Elephas maximus indicus: one gene and its partner. The protein of the gene in region 1 interacts with the protein of each later gene in a pairwise test. Links are inferred from orthologs where the notes say so. Each region holds a gene or a part of one and is shown in the gene's direction. Other genes may lie near its edges.

Evidence for each region.
Region 2: the proteins of TMEM79 (region 1) and CLEC7A interact in binary tests that used the Homo sapiens proteins (3 or more experiments, as listed by UniProt). The two-hybrid records come from large-scale screens. The link is inferred for Elephas maximus indicus from reciprocal best matches to the Homo sapiens genes TMEM79 and CLEC7A.

Annotation. Positions count from the first base shown.
Region 1 is NC_064821.1:194,076,517-194,086,698, forward strand, and holds TMEM79 (transmembrane protein 79), read left to right. Parts: upstream 1-4,198; 5' UTR 4,199-4,307; intron 4,308-5,090; 5' UTR 5,091-5,133; coding exon 5,134-5,881; intron 5,882-6,185; coding exon 6,186-6,399; intron 6,400-8,603; exon of another isoform or gene 8,604-9,180; coding exon 9,181-9,394; downstream 9,395-10,182. Other genes in the region: nonsense-mediated mRNA decay factor SMG5, read right to left, coding at 2,592-2,665.
Region 2 is NC_064822.1:67,379,309-67,389,490, reverse strand, and holds the start of CLEC7A (C-type lectin domain family 7 member A), read left to right. Parts: upstream 1-4,853; 5' UTR 4,854-4,931; coding exon 4,932-5,061; intron 5,062-7,039; coding exon 7,040-7,138; intron 7,139-10,182.

The DNA of each region.
Region 1 (10,182 bases):
ACCAATAGGTGAATCAGGCATATATGTGGAAATAAAAGCAACCAAAAAACTGGGAGTGATGATTCCCAAAACAAACTAAACTGTGTTCCTGGGCTGGGGCGGCTTAGGTGGAACACCACTAAAAGCTGTCCTGTAAAGGACAAAGTGACCACCAGCACCCAGCTGAGTGAGTGGGACAGTAATCAAGGCCTTCTCACAGGCAATCTGAGAACTCAGCATTTCTCCAAAAACCTTTTGGGCTGCCTAGAGATGGCAGCCAAACCCTTTTAGCCAGCCTGGCCCTCGGTGCCAGGGACAGCATCTGGCAGCCATCAGTGATTTACTCCATGCCAGCTTAGTCCCCAGGCAGGGCTTCTCGACCTCAATGCCATGGAGAGATCTAAGGTGTTGGTGGTATGTGTTTGTGTTTATGGAGAGGCTCCAGAGCGCTCCTTAGACTTCTCAATCCAAAAATGGTTAATAATCACTACTCTAAGAAGTTCCAATTACAAGATCTCAAATCTGAAAGGGTTCAGCAGTCTTTTCCCCACTCCTCATCAGACCATAAGCTCCTTCCACTAAATTGTTTGTACAGAAACCAGTATTATGACTCATTCACTACTGTAATCCCAGGCTTAACACGGTGTTAATATTTTTTAAATGCTGAAAAAAGAAATAATTAATTTGCCTAATTAATTGGTGCTTTTATTTGTTTCAGAGCCCTGGTGGTACAATGGTTAAGAGCTCAGGCTGCTAATCAAACCGTCAGCAGTTCGAACCCACCAGCTGCTCCTTGGAAGCCCTATGGGGCAGTTCTACTTTGTCCTGTAGGGTTGCTATGAATCGGAAACAACTGGATGGCAATGGGTTTTCTGGTTTTATCCATTCCAGCATCCCTTCTCCTGTTGCCTTTTGAGTGCTTAAAACATTTCAGAATTTTATTTGAGTAAACAACTAGGTTGTGGGAGTTTCCCAAATTTACTGGAGTGTGAGTGGCAGCTTTATAGTCTAACAAGTTTATCTTGGGCAGAGAAGTCAGATCTTCCTTCGCTAGTTTCCTTCCACCAATCGCCCTTGCTATAATAAACAATAAAAACAGAGACGGGCTACCTCAAATTTCCACACTGCTCAAAGCCAACAACATGCAACTGCAGGTACAAATACCCATGTGCACACATGGAAACCACACGCACAAACACACCAGCTTAAGTCAGCTAAGACCTGTGAAGGTAGTGGCTTGAGAAAGAACTAGATTTGAGAATGACAAGAAAGATGACCACAGCCATCCCTAAAAGCTGGAGACTAGTAAGGAATGTTGCAGACATTGCCCACGCTCTGTCTGACAGGCAGCGCTGACATTCGGCAGCATGACGAGGCACACGTGTCACCCCCAGCTAACTCCTTACTTGCCTGGGGACTGCCCGGGGCAGCCCACAGTGGGAGCCCAGGGGCTGCTGGATTGGATCACCTTTCTATTTTTGGAGCAGCCTATGCTCCCCTCTGCCTTCTGCCTTCTGGCTTACAAAACCAGAGGAGGCAGGATGCCTGCTCAGGGAAGAAAACACAACATGCTCTTGACCCTTTCACTGCCTACATGGGGGCCAAGGCTCTGAAGGTAGTTTCCTCATGCAAACACTCCTGTTCTCTATTGCCTGTGATAAATGAAAACCCCAAGTTCTTCTCCCTAAAAGGGCATAAAACTCACCTCATTCTCTACGCTTCCTCCTATTCTGATCCAGTTCTGGGGTCCATGTTCTAGCTGCCCTACCCCCCAAATCCTCAACCCAGGCTGGGAAAAGCTCATACTGGCCTGCTCCCAACAGAGGCTGAAGGGCGAAGATGTGACGTGAGGAGTGGGTAAACACCGTGGAAATCAGAAACCAGGAATGGAAGCTGCCTGGCAAGGGACTGCAGTCATGAGGCTGGGGGAAAGGCAAGACTCAGGAGTCCCTGAGGGCCCTGAAGTGGGCTCCCATTTCCTAAGAACACCCTGAACCCAAAGTCCTTCATGGCCCTTCCTGTCGAACGCAACTAGCCTTCCAGCCTCTCTGTTCTCATTCAGACTCCCCAAAATTTATAGAGTCATAAATGGCTTCAAGAGCTTGTCCAATCCGAATCGCTCCTTTTAAGGACAAGGAAACCGAGACTCAAGGTCACACAGTCAGAAAACGGCGAAGCAATGACCCGAACCTGGCTTTGAGTCCGGGGCTCTTCCCTGTTAAGTCCGGCCCGCAGGAATCCCCTACAGGGTTCTAAGCACCGTTCCCTTCCGGGTTTTTCTCTATCTGCGGCCCCGCCCTCACCTCTCTAACCCTTCCAGCCCCAATTCCCAGCCTCTTACCACAAACCCGCAAAGCTCAGTGCCCGCCCCAAGTTCACCGCGGAGGGGATGCCTCCACGTGCTTCCCTCCAAACCTCCCACCCACCCAATTCCGCCCTTCAGCTCCATCCCGGTTACGGAGCCCCACCCCTCCTGCTCCCTCCAAAATTGCACCCTCCTCCCTCGCCCGCCGCCCAGCCCGGCACCTGGCCCCCGCCCGTCCGGGAAGCCCCGCCCCTCGCTGTCCCCCCACTTCCCTCGGCTGCTGCACTCACGCCCCAGCCCCTCTCACCGGTAAAGCCGCTTGGTGTGGAGGACCTTTGCTTCGGGCTCGCTGCTCTCCCCTGTCGGGGGGCCTTGGCTCATGGTGCCCGGGTCCGGGGACGGCTCCCGGTCACAGGCCCCCGCCACCTACCGCTGCCGCTGCCATTGCCATATCCAGCCGTAGCCGCAGCCGCCACCACCGCCGGCCCTGCTCGGCCGCCATCGCTGTGAGGACGCTGCCCGCGACAGCTCCTCCTCCGCCTGTCAAATCTCGCGATATCAGTCAGGCGCACGGTTGTAGGCCAGTGGCCGGCTACTGCCAAATCTCGCGAAACTCATTTTCCCTCCCGGGAAGTTGCCAGAACTAACTCTGGGCAGCATGGCTCCATTCTGGCTTCTCTAAGCGCTCACGAAAAACTTTATTGACAAAGCTTCCAGAGAACAGACAGTGGACTCAGGAGGCTGAAGCTAAACTGGATTGGGGCAGGAGAGCCAACAGCGAGGGGCGTCCCAGTGATCTGCCCTCATTCCCTCCCCATTTGAGCCGAGCGTCTTTCAGGTTACTGGTTAGAGTGACTCCAATTCTCCCTTTTTTCCATAATTAAAAAAAAAAAAGTTAAAATTTTCTTGGAAAAAGCCAAGGATCACATAGGAGTAAGTCCCAGTGAGACTTTTGTACAAGCATCGCGCCTTTCAGCTCCACCTCCGAAAGATTTTCAGCTTGCGTATCTCTCTCATACCAGCCCAGCAAACATTTATTGAATACTTGCTGTCTTCCAACCACCGTGCTGAGGACACAGAGGTGAGCAAGCTAGACACTAACCGTGGTCTCACAGAGTTCCAATGCCTTTAGGAATAAGATCGCACAGGAATGAAAAGCCACTTTTTCTCCCACTCGCTCACGTAGAAGGATCACCTGCTATCTAACATGGATTTGTATTGCTCTCTTAACCTTAATAAGTTAAAAAGCAAGGTGTCCCCGAGCCTGTTTACAGGTTGCAATGGGAACATAAATTTCCCTTCCACCACTATGCTCTTGGCTCCAGCCACCTGACCTTTCTGCTCCTGAAACAGTCTGTCCTTCCTACCTGTTGGCCTTTCACTTGCTGTTCCTCTGCCTGGAACACTCATACTCCTGATTTCCCATCAGGTCTCGGCTGGAATGTCACCCTGTCAAAGAGACTTTCCTTATTGAAATTGTCTTTTTGGCTTAGTTGCTAGGTTTTTTAATTATCTATCACCCCAATAGAACAAAAGCTCCTCAAGGACAGGGACCTTGGCTGTCACCTTGTTTTCTTCTGGGTCAGTACCTAAAATAGCATCTAGCTAATAATAGTTCAATAAGTATTTACTGAATAAATAAATGTACAAATTCCACCTCTTTTCTGGGCATTCCAACTTATTCCAATACCTGCGAATATACAAACCCACTCTTCCTCCTCTGCTTTCCTAGCTGGGAGCCCCTACACATCCCATGTACCTAAAAAGTGTACTGGTGCCTATGCCCACCTGCACCCCCACTTCCAGAAAGAATGAAGTCCCTCCTCTAATGCCTTTTCTGTCGGCCAATTCAGCTGGGCGGGGCCTGCTCCTTTAATCTGGGCCCCACCTGCTCTGGTCAGACAGGTTTGGAGACACAGGTAAAGAGAGGGAGACGGAGAGAAATACTTGTAGAGCCAGCAGGGAGCTGGGCAGCTCCTTCCCAGACACCGGCCAGGACCCTCCACCTGTCTCCAGATGGAAAGTAAGAGGGTGTCATGGGTCCAAACTGCGAGGAGGGGTAGAAGGGTCCTTGAGGAAAAGGAGGGAGCAGTGAGGTGCAGACCAAATGGCAGGGTGGAAAGAAAGGCAGGAGGAGAGACATGGAAAACAGCCATTATTAAACCTGGAAGTTGGGAATGGACAGACCCCAGCCCTGTGGAGGTAGATGAAGTAGGCCAGTGAGGTGTTTGGAATCTGACCAAATACCCAGATTGGAGCTGAAGGGACAGGGTGCCCTGGGACAGCTAGCTCCCTAGGACATATTTGTAGGCAAATCACGGGCATCCACTGCCACTAGAGTTCCACGTGGTGGTCTGCAGGGGGAAGGGCAGGTGGGAAAATAGGGGGGCAGCTTCTCTAGTCACAGGAAGGTCCTGGGTGGAAAGGAAGTTCTTGGCAAAGTTCTAGACACCTCCTCTTTCTCCCTTTCCTGGATTAGGGTGGCCATGACCCCAGGGGTTTTGGTGGAGTGGGGCAGAAGGCGTGGGTAGGCCAGCTGAGGCCATAACTGCCAGGACCTGTGCCCCCCTGACTCACCGTCTCCTGCTGGTTGGCATTTGGTGTCGAAAGGGAGCCTCCATTTCAGCTGCTCACTTCCCTTCCACCTCCCTCTGTTTCAACACCTTCCTCACAGCATGTTCTCCTTAAGGTCCCAGATGGGGCTCAAGCCCATCAAGGGTCTGTCCTGGAGAGTTCCAGCTCTGCCCGCTTGTCCTAAGGGCCAGAGGACAGGGGCACTGACAGAGCTTCCCTCTGCTCTCTGCAGGGTGACATGACCTCGCTGTAGACCCCAGAACTGAGGCCTCAGCATGACCAAACCTGAGACTGTAGCCCTGTTGGAAGTGAAGGGGTCCGAGGCTTTGGAAAAGAGCCCACCTCAGGCTTTGGTTCCCAATGGCCAGCAGCCAGAAGGGGAAGGTGGGGCTGAGTCCCCCAGAGCTGAGTCCCCCAGAGTGGAGTCTTCGGTTGGGTCTCCCATGGCTGGAGAGGGGACTGAGGATGGTCTGGACAGCACAGTGAGCGAGGCTGCCACCTTGCCCTGGGGGACTGGCCCCCAGCCCAGTGCTCCGTTCCCAGACCCCCCCGGCTGGCGGGGCATTGGGCCAGAGTCCCTAGAGTCAGAGCCACCTCCCAGGCCAGAGGAGCCATCCGAAGATGATGTGAACCTGCTGCCTGAGAAGGCAGCCCGCGCCTTTGTGCCCATCGACCTACAATGCATTGAGCGGCGGCCCCAGGAGGACCTCATAGTGCGCTGTGAGTCAGGCGAGGAGGAGCGCCGGGCCTTTCTGCCCACCCGGGCCACCCACCCTGAGCCCCCTGAGCGCAAGTGGGCTGAGGCAGTGGTGAGGCCACCTAGCCGGTCCTGCAAGGGCTGTGGGAGCCGTGAGGGGCTGAGGGCCGTGGCCTCGGTAGGGGCCGCCCTCATCCTCTTCCCCTGCCTACTGTATGGGGCATATGCCTTCTTGCCCTTCGATGCCCCTCGGCTGCCCACAGTGAGTTCCCGTCTGGTCTACACGCTGCGCTGCGGGGTCTTTGCCACCTTCCCCATCGTGCTGGGTGAGCTCGGGGCCCTTCAGAAGAAAGGGGACATCTGGGAACTAGACTCGAGGAGGGTGGGACCTGCTGGTTTGGGGAGCAGTTGGGTTTCCCTTCACTCGAGCTGGACCCCTCATGGCCTCCTGTGCCCTGCCACCTGTGTGTCCACCCATCTTAGGACCACCTCAGCCCCACTGTGTATAATCTATGCACTTTCCTTCTGTGGGGCCTGCACCCTCCACTGTGAACCCTGGCCCCAGCTTCCTGCCTAAAGCTCCTTCCTCCTGTCTTTCCTGACTCTGTGTGCTCCCCAACCCCACCCCAGGAATCCTGGTATATGGGCTGAGCCTGCTGTGCTTTTCTGCCCTACGGCCCTTTGGGGAGCCCCGGCGGGAGGTGGAGATCCACCGGCGATATGTGGCCCAGTCGGTGCAGCTCTTCATCCTCTACTTCTTCAACCTGGCCGTGCTTTCCACCTACCTGCCCCAGGACACCCTCAAGCTGCTCCCACTGCTCACTGGCCTCTTTGCCATCTCCAGGTGAGTTGGGACTGCGGGTGGAGCTTGAGGGCAAGGCAGTGATGCTAGAGGGACCCAGGCAACTGAATGGCTGGAGAACCAGGGACAGGGGTCTTTCTGGATTCTGCATCAGCCCAAATGTGAATCCTGGAGCAGTGAGTCCACTTTCTCCCTTGCACTTGACCTCACCTGGTAGTGGGTAATCAGCTCATATGTCTTCTCATAGGAAGCTGACTTCAGAGACATATATACCAACCTAGAACCTGAAGGGCATTCAGGCATCATCCTGACCAACCTCCCACCCGTTGTAGCCACTCCTCTGTGGCACTCTGGTCTAGTGGCCATTTGGCGTCTTGTTGAACACCCCCTCAGATAAGGGGCTCAATTCTTTACAAGACAATCTGTTTCACTTCTTAAAGGTCCTGATTGTTATAAAGGAGCCCTGGTGGCACAATGGTTAAGTGCTCAGCTGCTAACTGAAAGGTTGGAGGTTCTAACCCACCACTGCTCTGTGGGAGAAGAAACCTGGCGATCTGCTCCTGTAAAGATTACAGCCTGGGAGACCCCATGGGGCAGTTCTACTCTGTCACACTGGGTCTCTATGAGTCAGAATCGACTCGAGGGCACACAACAATTATTAGGAGTCCCTGGGCATTGCAAATGACTTGCACCCACTACTAATCAAAAAGTTGATGGTTTTGAACCCACCCAGTAGCACCATGAGAGAAAGGCCTGGTGATCTGCTTCCATAAAGATTACAGCCAAGAAAACCCCACGGAGCTGAATTCTACTCTGTAATACATGGGGTTGCCATGAGTCGGAATTGACTTGATGACAACAGGTTAACTGTTAGAAAGTTTTTATGTTGTGCTGAAAACTGCTGCCCCGACCCTGATCTCTGGAATTGCCTAAGGCAAATTCAGGCGTTTGATGACAGCTCTTAAACCCCCTAGCTCAGCACCCTGCTACCCAGTCTCTTTCTTTGCTAACTGCCCAGGTCCCTTCACTGTCCCAGGTCCTTTCCTCTGGGCAGGAAATTCTCCTGCTTGTTAATGGGGACCCTTCAAGGGCACTATCCTATTCATGCAAACCATGGCCACATTAGCTCTCATGGTAGCGTCATTACTCTCCTTTCATTCAGAGTCTGCAGTCCCCTGAAATCCCTAGGGCTTTTTCCACGTGAACTACTGTTCACCTGGAAGGCATCTTTGAATTTCTGAGCCCAAACGCAGGTCTTTCCATTTTTCCCTAATACATTTCCTCTTGTTACTTTTGATACAGGCTTCCAGGTAGCTTTAACTGCTAAAATATTATTCCTTATATCAAGCTAAAATGTGCCTTCCTGTCACTTTTGATTGTAGTCTAGTGGTCAGCTGTACCCCCCTCCCCCAGCCTCCTGACCATCATGCAGCTTTGCCTTTTCTCTCCGTAAATGTTTCTCAAGATAAATATGTTCCTGCTTACGTAACTCAACCTCCCATCTCTCTTGGAGAATGCTGGTCTCAGGGAGAAGTTGGCTTAAGCAGTAAGAATCATTAGGCAGCTAAAGGAAGACTCAGCAATTATCCGGTCCAGCCGCCTCATTTTATAGGACTGGAATCCAGGTCCCTTCCTCCTTCTATCCAGGCTCCTTTTTTCTCTTCCATGGCCAAGTTGCCTTAGCATTTTGTCCCTGTTTCATCATCTATAAAATGCAGTTGTTGTGAGGACTGAATGAGTTAATTCCTGTAGGGTGCTTACAGCAGCCAGGCACTTGGGAAGGCTTGATAAATGTGGCCTCTTACTGTTATCCCATGCTGCTTCCTGGTACAGTCCAGAAACCGCAGTTACTCTTCCCTCCCTTTCACAGGTGAAAAAGCAATTTTGTAATGAGTGGTCAGTCCTTTTTATATTAAGCAGATGCTGCTCCTCCAATCCCCATTGAAGGATGTGTATTTTGTTTTTCCGAAAGGGAAAATTTGGTGGCTGACCCATCCCTCTGGGCTTCAAGCCCTCGTGAAGCTGGCTTCTCCTCTTTTTCCTCTGCCCCTTTAAAAAGACAGGAGGCTTGGGTTCAAATCACAGCTTTGCTATTTCCCAGATGTATAACCTTGAGCCAGTCTTATTTAACCCCTTTGGAGCCTTAGTTTCCTCATTGGCAAAAGAGGAAATAAACACACTGAAATGCACTGCCGATGTAAAAGAATGAGGAAGCTGTTTATATACTGATATAAAATTATCTCCAAGATACGTTAAAAGAAAAAAATCAACGTGTAGAACAGTGCATATAGTATGCTGCTGTACTTCAAAAAAGGGAGAAAAAGAAAACAAAAATCGTTTCGCTCATCCTATGTGTGTAAAAGATCACTTGAAGCACAAGAAACCATAACACCGGCTGCCAGGGAGTCAGGAAAGGTACTATATGCATGGGGGTACCTTTGAATTTTGAACCATGTCAATGTATACTACCCATTCGAAAATTTTTAATTAAAATTTGAAAAATATATAAAAGAGGAGGATAAATATACCGGTTTCATAGAGATGTGGATAAGTCTAATAGTGCTGTTCAAGTAATTAGCACAGTACCTGGCACATTGTAAGTGCACGAATATTGGCTGTTATTAGTATACCAGCTGTATTCACCAGCCCCCATCTACCTCCTTCACTGTGTGTTCTCACCACCATCAGCCTATGCGCTTCCCTCGAGGGTGGTGGTGGTTATGAGCTTATGTCCAGTGGGCGACAGACTCATGGCCACCCCACGCACAACGGATGGGACTGTTGTGATCCATAGGATGGTCTGACCCTTTCTTGCCTTCGCAGGCTGATATACTGGCTGACCTTCGCCGTGGGCCGCTCCTTCCGAGGCTTTGGCTACGGCTTGACGTTCCTGCCGCTGCTGGCCATGCTGGTGTGGAACCTCTACTACATGTTCGTGGTGGAGCCCGAGCGCATGCTCACTGCGGCGGAGAGCCGCCTGGACTACCCGGACCACGCCCACTCCGCCTCCATCTACAGGCCCCGCCCCTGGGGCTGAGCCGCTGGCCCTCCAGTCTCCCGGGTTCGCGGGTGGGCTGATCCGGGATGGGCTTGGGGCACTTCTCTGAATGGGTTTGCTGGCCTGGACTGTGCCCCAATCCTGGTGCCTCTGAGGGATGAATCCCGCTAGTGCCCCAGGGGTCCCATGCAATCAGAGCCCGCACCGTCCTCTGTTCCCCTGCCAGCGCGGCTCTTCACAGTCATGAGGCAGGGTTTTAGTTTTCTTGCAGGGAAAGAGATGAACCACTCCGTCCTTTAAGGATGCTGAGGGCACGGGGGCCAGAAACAGGGAGGTTTTTTCCTGAGCAGCCTCCCACCACTGCCACACAAGGCCCACTAATGCTGGACTCTGCCCCCTCCCAAGGCCCCTGCTAAGTAGGTAGCAGAGCCACAGCCAAACCTTTGATCATTTCTGTGTCTGACATGCTATGAGACAGGACTTTGAAGTTTGGTGAAAACCTTCCCTAGGGGGTCTGGGTTTGGGATGACCTGCCCTTTAGCCTCAGCCAAGATTATTCCAGTTGTCCCAACCCAGGGCTGCTGCCTCATCCTTTCCAACATATTTAGGCCCCTGTGACTTCCCACCTCTAAAGTGCCCACAAATCACACCTCTTGCATGGGAAAAGGGGAGCAGACAGGGAAACCTGCCTCCCAAGAGCACAAAAAGTGGCTGTGGAGTGAGTGTATGACCATGCATGTGGCAGCTGGGGAGTGACTGGACGGCACAGTGGCAAATGTTAACCGAGTGTGAGTATGTGTGTATATGTGTGTGGGGGACAATAAATT
Region 2 (10,182 bases), on another chromosome or scaffold:
TAGCATTATTATCCTTTAGTAAATGTTGCAGTCCACATAGAAATTAATTCACAGGACTCCCATTATACAGGCACTTGGGGATTCAGCAACATGCATTCCTTTCTGGAATAAGTTGGAATAATTTGGAATTGCTCAAGTTCACTCAAAGCACTGCTTGCTGTTTGCATCATTTTAACTACACCTTATGGAACTAGGGAAACCCTGGTGGCATAGTGGGTTAAGTGCTACAGCTGCTGACCAAACCGTCAGCAGTTTGAATCCGCCAGGCGCTCCTCGGAAAATTTATGGTGCAGTCCTACTCTCTCCTACAGGGTTGCTATGACTAGGAATTGGCTTGATGGCAACAGGCTTATGGAACTACCTATTTCAGTGTTTAAACAGTAAATTTGAGGTAAGCAATGATAGTATTGTACAGTGATTATAAAAACAAAGAAACAGAATTTGGTCTACTTTAACTGTCATTCTATGTGACCACTTAGAATTTTTATTTATATTGTATAAAATTTTTTGACCTGCAGAGCAACATTTGAAGCCTCTAGAATTGATTCTGAAGGAAAAAGACATGAGCAATCTTGCAATTTCTGAAACTATTGTGAAATAAGAGTTTTATAGATCTCTTGTATCCTTATAAACCTTTTTCCTAAGTTTACGTATATGTTTCTTCAGCAAAATAAACTTTTCAAAATTAAATTGATTAGTCAACGAGAATATATGAAAAATATTAATTTTGACAAAATCATTGACAAATTGGGGAAGGTAAGCTCTAAATCAGAAACTGTAATATTTTTTATTAATGTGATATACATAAATATAGGTGTAAAACTTTCTCCTTTTCCCAGAAGTACATTACTATAATTTAAAAGATTTTACACATATAATTCAAAGTATTTTGTACAATACTATTCATTTTAATTTGTTGAAAAGAAAATGAGGCTCAGATTGTCAGATTCCTCTGAGTGCATAGAAAAGTTGCACAAAGATCATTGACCAATGTGGAATGCACTCGAGAACAGATAGACAGGAACAAAGAGACAAGGTGGCAATACCAAAAAAACAAAACAAAACAAAACCCATTGCTGTGAAGTCAATTCTGACTCACGGTGACCTTATAGGACAGTGCAGAAATGTCCTAAAGTGTTTCCAAGGCTGTAAATCTTTACAGAAGCAGATTGCCACATCTTTCTCCCATGGAGCGACTGGTGGATTCAAACCTAGCACTTTAACCGCTGCACCACCAGGGCTTCTTGATGGCGATATACCCTTGAGTTGATTATGACTTATAGTGACCCTATAGCACAGAGTAGAACTGCCCCCAATAGGCTTTCCAAGGAGTGTCTGGTGGAATTCAAACTGCCAGCCTTTGGGGTAGCAGCCAAGCTCCTAACCACTACCCCACCAGGGCTCCCTACCCAAACCAAAAAATACCAAGCCTGTCGTTGTGGAGTCGATTCCAGCTAAGAGTGACTCTATGGAACAGGGTAGATCTGCTCCATAGAGTTTCCAAGGAGTGCCTGGTGGATCTGAACTGCCAACCCTTTAGTTAGCAGCCAGAGCACTTAACCACTACAGCACCAAGGCGCCATAAAAAAAAAAAAAAAAACCAAACCCACTGCCATCGAGTCAATTTTTGGCTTTAGGTAAAGATAAATCCTTTTCATAATGTGAACTCTGAGTTCACGGTTCACAAATGTTTTGTCACAAAGAGGGTTTGTGTGATTTTATGGGTTTTTGGTTTTATGAATCAGTTTTTTCATCAAATCCCACTGAGAATATGAATTATTATTATTACCTTTTTTTTCTTTTTTTGCCTATTTGGTATTTTGGTTAAGTCCACTTATTTTTCTCCTGTTTCTTACATTAATGTTTAAAAACAAAACCAAACTTGTTGCAGTGGAGTCGATTCTATCTTACAGCAACCCTATAGGACAGAGTAGAATTGCCCCCTGAGTTTCCAAGAAGTGACTGATAGATTCCTGGAACTGCGGAAATTTTGATTAGCAGCCAAGCTCTTAACCACTAACCACAAAGGCCTCCCAAATTAATGTTTAACAGAGAGTATTTTTCTCTGGATATTTAGACCCTCTCCTTTCCCCATCCTTTTAAATGCGGAGGGTTTTCTTATTTTTCCAGTATGTCAAGTTTCGCTGTTCAGTTGTTTGACTGCCTCTCACTGCCATCCAGTGGATTCGGACTCATAGCGGCCCTGTAGGACAGATCTTTACTGAAGCAGACCGCCACATCTTTCTCCTGCTGAGTGGCTGGAAGGTTCAAATCAATGACCTTTTAGTCAGCAGCCAAGCACTTTAGCCGCTGCACAACCAGGGCTCCCAGAATAAAAAACACCAAAGTTTATGTCTATTGCATTTTTCTTTGACAGTTTAGAGAGTCAATTGTTTTTGTGGGATTGAGATTAAATAGAGGAATATAGTCATAGAGAATAAAAGTCATTTCATACAGAAAGACTCTTGTATCAGCGGTCTGCATTGACAGAATAAATCCAGCTTCTCCAATTACTGCCTGGAAGAAGTGTTTCCCTCATCGCTGTTCTTTGGTTCTGTATAGTAGGCTGACCCTCCTGCCTTTAGCCATGATATGGCCTGCTTTCTAAGGGCTCCTTTATAGAACTGAAATACTGAAGAATGTTGGAATTAGACCACACTGCTGCTTTGCAGCACACCTACAAAAAGTTAGTGGAAGTTTAATTTTATGTGTCAACTTGGCTAGACTGTGGTGCCCGTTTTTTTGGACAAACGCTTTTCTAGATGCTTTTATGAAGTAGTTAAACCAAAAAACCAAACCCAGTGCCATCGAGCCGATTCCAACTCATAGTGACCCCATAGGACAGAGTAGAACTGCCCCAAAGAGTTTCCAAGGAGGGCCTGGTGGATTTGAACTGCTGACGCTTTGGTTACCAGCAGTAGCACTTAACCACTATGCCACCAGGGTTTCCGTATGAAGTAGTTACATGTGATTAAATTAGTTACATGCCTCAGGTAAAACAGATTACCCTCCATAATGTGTGTGGGCTTCAACCAATCAGTTAAAGGCCATAAGAGCAAAAAGGGACTTTCTCTTAAGGTGTATTCTTCTTTCAGACTGTAAGTAGACATTTTGCCAGAACCCCTTCACTCTTTATTCTTCCCCATCACCTGACCTATGAATGTTGGTATGTAAGACTGCAGGAATCGCCAGTCTGTTGCCTGACCCACAGATTTTTAATTTTCCAGCCCCCACATCCTGTGAGCAAGCCAATTCCTTAAAAATAAATCTCTCTGCCTCTATTATATAGATACATGTGTATACATAAATATATATATGTGTGTTTGTGAGTATGTATGTATATATATATATGAGAGGCATTAGTGATTCAGTGGTAGAATTCTCACCTTTCATGCAGATCTGAGTTTGATTCTATTCCTGGCCAGGGCAACTCATTCACAGCCAATACCCGTCTGTCAACAGAGGCTTGCATTTAGCTATGATGCTGAATAGGTTTCATGGGGCTTCCAGACTAAGACAGACTAGGAAGGAAAGCCCAGCGATTTACTTCTGAAAATAAGCCAATGAAAATTTTATGGATCACTATGGTCTGATCCTGTTGCATGTGGGGTCACCATGAGTTGGGGTCTGAATCAATGTTAGCTAAAAACAATATCTATATCTACATCTATAAAACCAAACCAAACTCGCTGCTGTCCAGTTGATTCCAACTCATAGCAAACTTACGCCTGTATCTATATGTCTTAATGATTCCGTTTCTCTAGAAAATTGTGGTTAAGACAGGGAGGAACCCACTTATTTACTCTCCAGTGATCTATCTTCCATTTTGATAACATGTTAAACAGATGTGTCCTGCTTTCTACAGTCTTCAAATTCTGATAAATGGATTGGACATCTGTCTAGTTTCTAGAAGTAATAAGTATTTTCCATGTATCATTGATTTAATCATTACTAAGGAAATTGGAAGAGAGGAAAAAATCAAACACTTTGCAGAACATTTCAGTCCCAGAACTCTCCATGAGCTGTTAATTGCTACAGAAATGTACAGAATGGTGAAGGAGGCAGTGTAACCTAACAGAAAGGGCACGAAGTTTGCAGCAGGAGTGAACCTTGCTCTGATTACTTAGTCCACTCTCTTTTATTAACTACTTAAACCTGAGAAAGGGGCTAAATTTTTTCATCTGAAAATAGAAATAATAATACCTACAATATAGGCTCGCTGGAAAACTGAGATTAAATGAGAAAGCAAGTACAATGCACAGTACCTAACACATAGTAATTGTTCAATAAATAATTACTGCTTCGTGTGATTATCCCACGACAAATATCAGATATTTGATCCCTGCTGTTGCTACAATTATGCCCCTCCTAATGGCATCCTTCACACTTTCATCTGTAGGTTTCCTTTGCTAAGCAATAAGCTTCTACACAGGTATTGTTTATCCTTATATTCCCAACTCCTATTGGTTGAAAAGGTGGACATTCAACAAATGTTTATTGAATGAATGCATGAATAAATTAATGAATGTGTAGTCATAATGAAGTCATGGTGAACTCAAGATACCAAGATTGTTTGACAGTTTGCATAAGCCAAGTCATTTAATGATGTCAAAATCAGTTGTGAGAATAATGAAAGCAGCTTGGGACATAAATCTATATATTTTTATTTTATTAGGTCTGAAACAAGGATCTATCTACTATGCTGTGTTATAATTTTCTTAGAATCAGCAGTCTCAGAAATAGGATCTAAAGGTCCGAATGGGAAATTGCCACAGCAGAATTTTCACTTCCTGCTCCTGGGTATCTGGTTGAACTACTCAAGCTCAAGTCGTTAAACCTCAGCGATTGCCCATCCCACATGATTTGACTCATAGGTCCTCTTTTGTCCGTAAGCAGTTGTCTTAGAAGAGAAGAAAGGGCTCTCAGATGCTATGTCTGTCCAGGGACTCAACAGAACAATGGAATATTATTCCAATACAGAAAATTTGGATGAGGATGGATATACTCAATTAGACTTCAACTCTAGAGACAACTCCAGGAGACCTATAGTCTCAAAGAAAGGTAATTTTTCTTTATCCCTTCAATACTTTCATCATCATTATCCAAATCACCGAAGAGAAGAAAATTTGAGACTTGTGATTTATAGGGCTTTTATTAATACTTTTTTAAATGTCAGGTTTTCAGAAGTCACTGAAGATAATTTGAATGTGAGCTAAGTATTTTCTTGTGGCAACTCAGATAATAGCATTCAGTGTCTAATTACTAGTATTTAAATTAATTATGTATGATGACAAAATATTCAGAATTTCTCTTTTCTGTAGGAGTAGACATTTGAACAGTGAGGAGTTGTAATAAATGTGGCAATGAGCAAAAATGAAGGAATTTCAATAAGAGTGGTTTATTGCTTGGTTGATAGAAAGGCATAGATTGTAGAATGGAGGTCAAGGAAACTTAAAGAAGTGTATAAGAACATCAGGATATAGCAGATAAGAAAGCGAATGATAAAAAAAAAAAAAAAAGATGGAAGATCAGTAATGGAAGGCACCGAGGGAAAAAGAATCTGTCATATTCTGGTAAAATGGAAGTCAGATGTAATAGTGTTTATAATATTGATTTGTTATGATTTATGTGATGTGAAATTGATTTGGCTTATTGATTTAATTAGCTTTTAATCAAAGGGAAGTTCTTGATATACCGGTGAAGGAAAATACACATGTTAAAGGAAGAGATTCCTTTAGTGACAAATGAGTCTTAAAATATAAGAAGGTGAAATACGAAGGACATAAGAAAAACCCATCTTTTCATAGAATTAATAATTTAGCCTCCTCTATTAGTTTCCTGGAAACCCTGGTGGTATAGTGGTTAAGAGCTATAGCTACTAACCAAAAGGATGGTAGTTCAAATCCACCAGGTGCTCCTTGGAAATCCTATGAGGCAGTTCTGTTCTGTCCTGTAGGGTCGCTATGAGTTGGTATTGACTTAATGGCAACAGGTTTGGTTTTTTTTTTTTTTTATTATTAGTTTCCTATTTGAAAATCCTATGAAATTCTCTTATTACTTATTCTCAGTTAAAGGCAGAGATAGGTTCTTAGTGTGTCAATGTTAACACAAAATGGGTTCCATGTTATATCGGGAGAGAGATTATTGACAGGTTTTGGCATAAGAATTTGCTCTCTTCTGCTTTCTTGTTAGTCACATTGCACAATTATTTTTGTCTCACCACTTATGTAATTCTTTCCTTGAGCAATCTACTGGGGAAGAGTGGAAAAACTGAGTGAGGCAAGAGGGAGGAAGGCATGCATGTGTTTATGTGTATGCGTGGGCAAACACTGAGTTACCTACAGTGTGCTAACAGTATTTAAACTAGGTGCTTTTACTTATGTAAACCAATGCAATCCCCACAACAATCCATTGAAGTATTCTTAGTCCAGTTTTCAATAAATAATAATGAAAAACCAGAGGGGGTAATTTGCTCAAGATCCTGCAGCAAATAAGTAAAAAGAGAAGGTTCCATATTTTGATTTTGCCACCCTTGGTAACCACTGTTCTTTCCCCTACATTAAGCTCCCTGCTTAAGGAATAAGTGGGATTTCAGGATTCCTAGCAGTGACAAGACCTGTAGCTGACTTTGTGGAACTGAAATTAAGAATGGATACATATCAAAGCACTGTGCCCAAATTACATGTCCAGGGCTTGAAGAGGCATGCTAAAGGTGTATAAAAAATTAGGCTAGTACTAGATGATTAGATTATCTCAAAAACAGTGACTAATGAATGGTTCACTTTGGAATTTGCCAGATTTTGATGAACTGTAGATTTAAAGAGCCTCACAGTCCATCAGGTGTAGTGGTTAAGTGCTACGGCTGCTAACCAAAAGGTCAGCAGTTCGAATCCCCCAGGCACTCCTTGGAAACTCTATGAGGCAGTTCTACTCTGTCCTTTAGGGTCGCTGTGAGTCCGAATCAACAGGTTTGGCTTTTTGGTTTCTCAGTCCATCATTCTAGTCCTTCATTCAACTTCTTCTCCCTCTGGCTCCTCAGGAACTTGTGCTGCATCTCCTCGTTGGTGTGTCATTGCTGTGATTTTGGGGATCTTATTCTTGATAACACTGGTGATAGCTGTGGTTCTGGGCACCAAGGGTGAGTACTGTTAGAGGAGATTAGCAATAATGCATACTTTCAATGAACATTCATTACATGCCAGGCACTTGTTTAAAGGTTTGACATACATAATTTCATTTAACCCTTACATTAACTCTATTGAGTTGGTACTATTAATCCCCATTTTATTTATAAGTGAATTGAGAGATAGGGAGGTAATTTTACTATTCTAGGGTCATGGTGGGGCCATGATTAAAATTTAGATAGGCTGTCTGAGAAACTCCGAGTCCATGGGTTCCACATCAGTGGATTCAACCAACCACAGATTGAAAATATTTGAAAAAAATACAAAAGAAGAAGGAAGGAATACACGGACTCACTGTACCAAAAAGAATTGATGTTCAGCCATTTAAGGAGATTGTATATGATCAAGAACTGATGTTACTAAAGGAAGAGTTCCAAGCTACACTGAAGGCATTGGTGAAAAACAGGATTCCAGAAATTGATGGAATACCAACGGAGATGTTTAGAAAAAACGTTTTCAGTGCCAGAGGTGCTCACTCATCTGTGTCAAGAAATTTGGAAGACAGCTACCTGGCCAATCAACTGAAAGAGATCCATATTTGTAACGATTCCAAAGAAAGATGATCCAACAGAGTGTGGAAATTATGGAACAGTATCATTAATATCACACACCAGTAAAATTTTGCTGAAGATCATTCAAAAGCAGCTGCAGCAGTATATCGACAGGGAAGTGCCAGAAACCCAAACCAGATTCAGAAGAGATGTGGAACCAGGGATATCATTGCTGATGTCATATGGATGTTGGCTGAAAGCAGAGAATACTAGAAAGGTGTTTACCTGTGTTTTATTGACTATGCAAAGGCATTTTACTGTGCGGATCATAACAAATTACAGAGAACATTTCCAAGAATTGAAATTCCAGAACACTTAATTGTACTCATGAGGAACCTGTACTTAGGTCAAGAAGCAGTTGTTCAAACACAATAAGGTAATACTGTGTGGTTTAAAGTCAAGAAAGGTGTGCATTAGGGTTGTGTCCTTTCACCATATTCATTCAATCTGTATGCTGAGCTAATAATCTGAGAAGCTGGAGTATATGAAGAAGAACAGGGCACCAGGATTGGAGGAAGACTTGTTAACAACCTGTGATATTCAGAAGACACAATCTACCTTGCTGAAAATGAAGAGAATTTGAAGCACTTATTGATGAAGATCAAAGACCACAGCCTTCAGTATGAATTACACCTCAACATAAAAAAAAAAATCTTCACAACTGGATCAATAAGAAACATGATGATAAACCAAGAAAAGACTGAAGTTGTCAAGGATTTAATTTCACTTGGATACACAGTCAATGCTTATGGAAGCAGCAGTCAAGAAATCAAATGACATATTACATTGGGCAAATGTGCTTCAAAAGACCTCTTTAGAGTGTTAAAAGCAAAGATGTCACTTTAAGGACTAAGGTGCACCTGACCCAAGCTTGGTGTTTTCATTCACCTCATATACATGTGAAAGCTGGGCAATGAATAAGGAAGAGGGAAGAAGAATTGAGGGCTTTAAATTATGGTGTTGGAGAAGAATATTGAATATACCATGGACTGCCAGAAGAACAAACAAATCAAAACATGTCTTAGAAGAAGCACAGCCATAATGCCCCTTAGAAGTGAGCATGGCAAGATTTTGTCTAACATACTTTGGAGGTGTTATCAGGAGGGACCAGTCCCTGGAGAAGGACATCATCCTTGGTAAAGTAGGGCATCAACAAAAAGAGGAAGGCCCTCAGAGAGTTTGACTGACACAAAGCTGCAACAATGGGCTAAAGCAAAACAACAATTGATAGCATGGCTCAGGACCGGATAACGTTCCGTTCTGTTGTACACAGGGTCGCTATGAGTCAGAACTGACTCAACGGCTGCTAACAACAGAGATGATTTAAAGTATATGGGAGGATGTGTGTAGAATTGAGCGTTTGAGGATTTTGGTATGGAAGGGTTGTTCTGGAACCAATCTCCTATGGATACCGAAGGACTACTGTGACTAGTTTCAAAGGCATGGAATTTCCACAATAAATTAATGGAGCTGAAGAGGGAAGTACGATATGGTACCATCTTCCTAAAGAAGTAAATTCACTAAAGAGACTATAAAATTTTTCTATAAAGCTTATGATTTAAGGAAATCATTTTATACCTGATATTTAGTACAAACTCCTCTGGATGTACCAGGAATTGTCTGAGGCAACTAGAAATATCTGAGACACCTACTAAGTACTGTATATATTTTTTATGATGAATAAATTTCTTTAGATTTTATATATCATGCATTCTGGTCACAATAAAGTACTATTATGCCTTAAGAGATTCTTCATTAATTAGTCAAATGTTTATTGAGTGTATTCTACTACCGACACTCAAGGAGCTAAGGAGCTAACATTTCTAAATAACAGAAAGCAGAGAGACGAATTATTACTGTTTTAGATCTATCATTATTCCTATCAACTCTCTTCCATTTGCCTCCTACTTCCATCATTTTTTTTCTTTTCTACCTGCTTCATTTCTCTCACTTCTCACAGCACCTCCTTTATGGAAGTTATTTAGCCTTTCTTTCTACCACTATGCGTGCAGCCATCTGTCCATAGGTCCCTCTGTTCATACATACATATATCAGTCCACCCGTCCACTGTTTGGTTGGTCTGTCTGCCTATCTATCTATGGATGGATCTGTTGATTTCTCACTCATCTTCACCTCCCCACTAGCAATTTGTCATTTACTTCTCATTAATCTGGTGCCCTCGTGGTGCAGTTGTTAAGCACTCAGCTGCTAACTGAAAAGTCAGCAGTTCAAACCCACCAGCCAATTCTGTGGAAGAAAGATGTGGCAGTCTGCTTCTGCAAAGATTTTTAGCCTTGGAAACCCCATAGGGCAGTTGTACTAAACAGGGTTGCTTTTGAGTTGGAATGGACTCGAAAGAAATTTTTTTGTGTCATTAATCAATAATGTATTTCTTTATGTCCCCACAAAACAAATACACGGGTTTTGGGATTTTACTTTTCAAATAT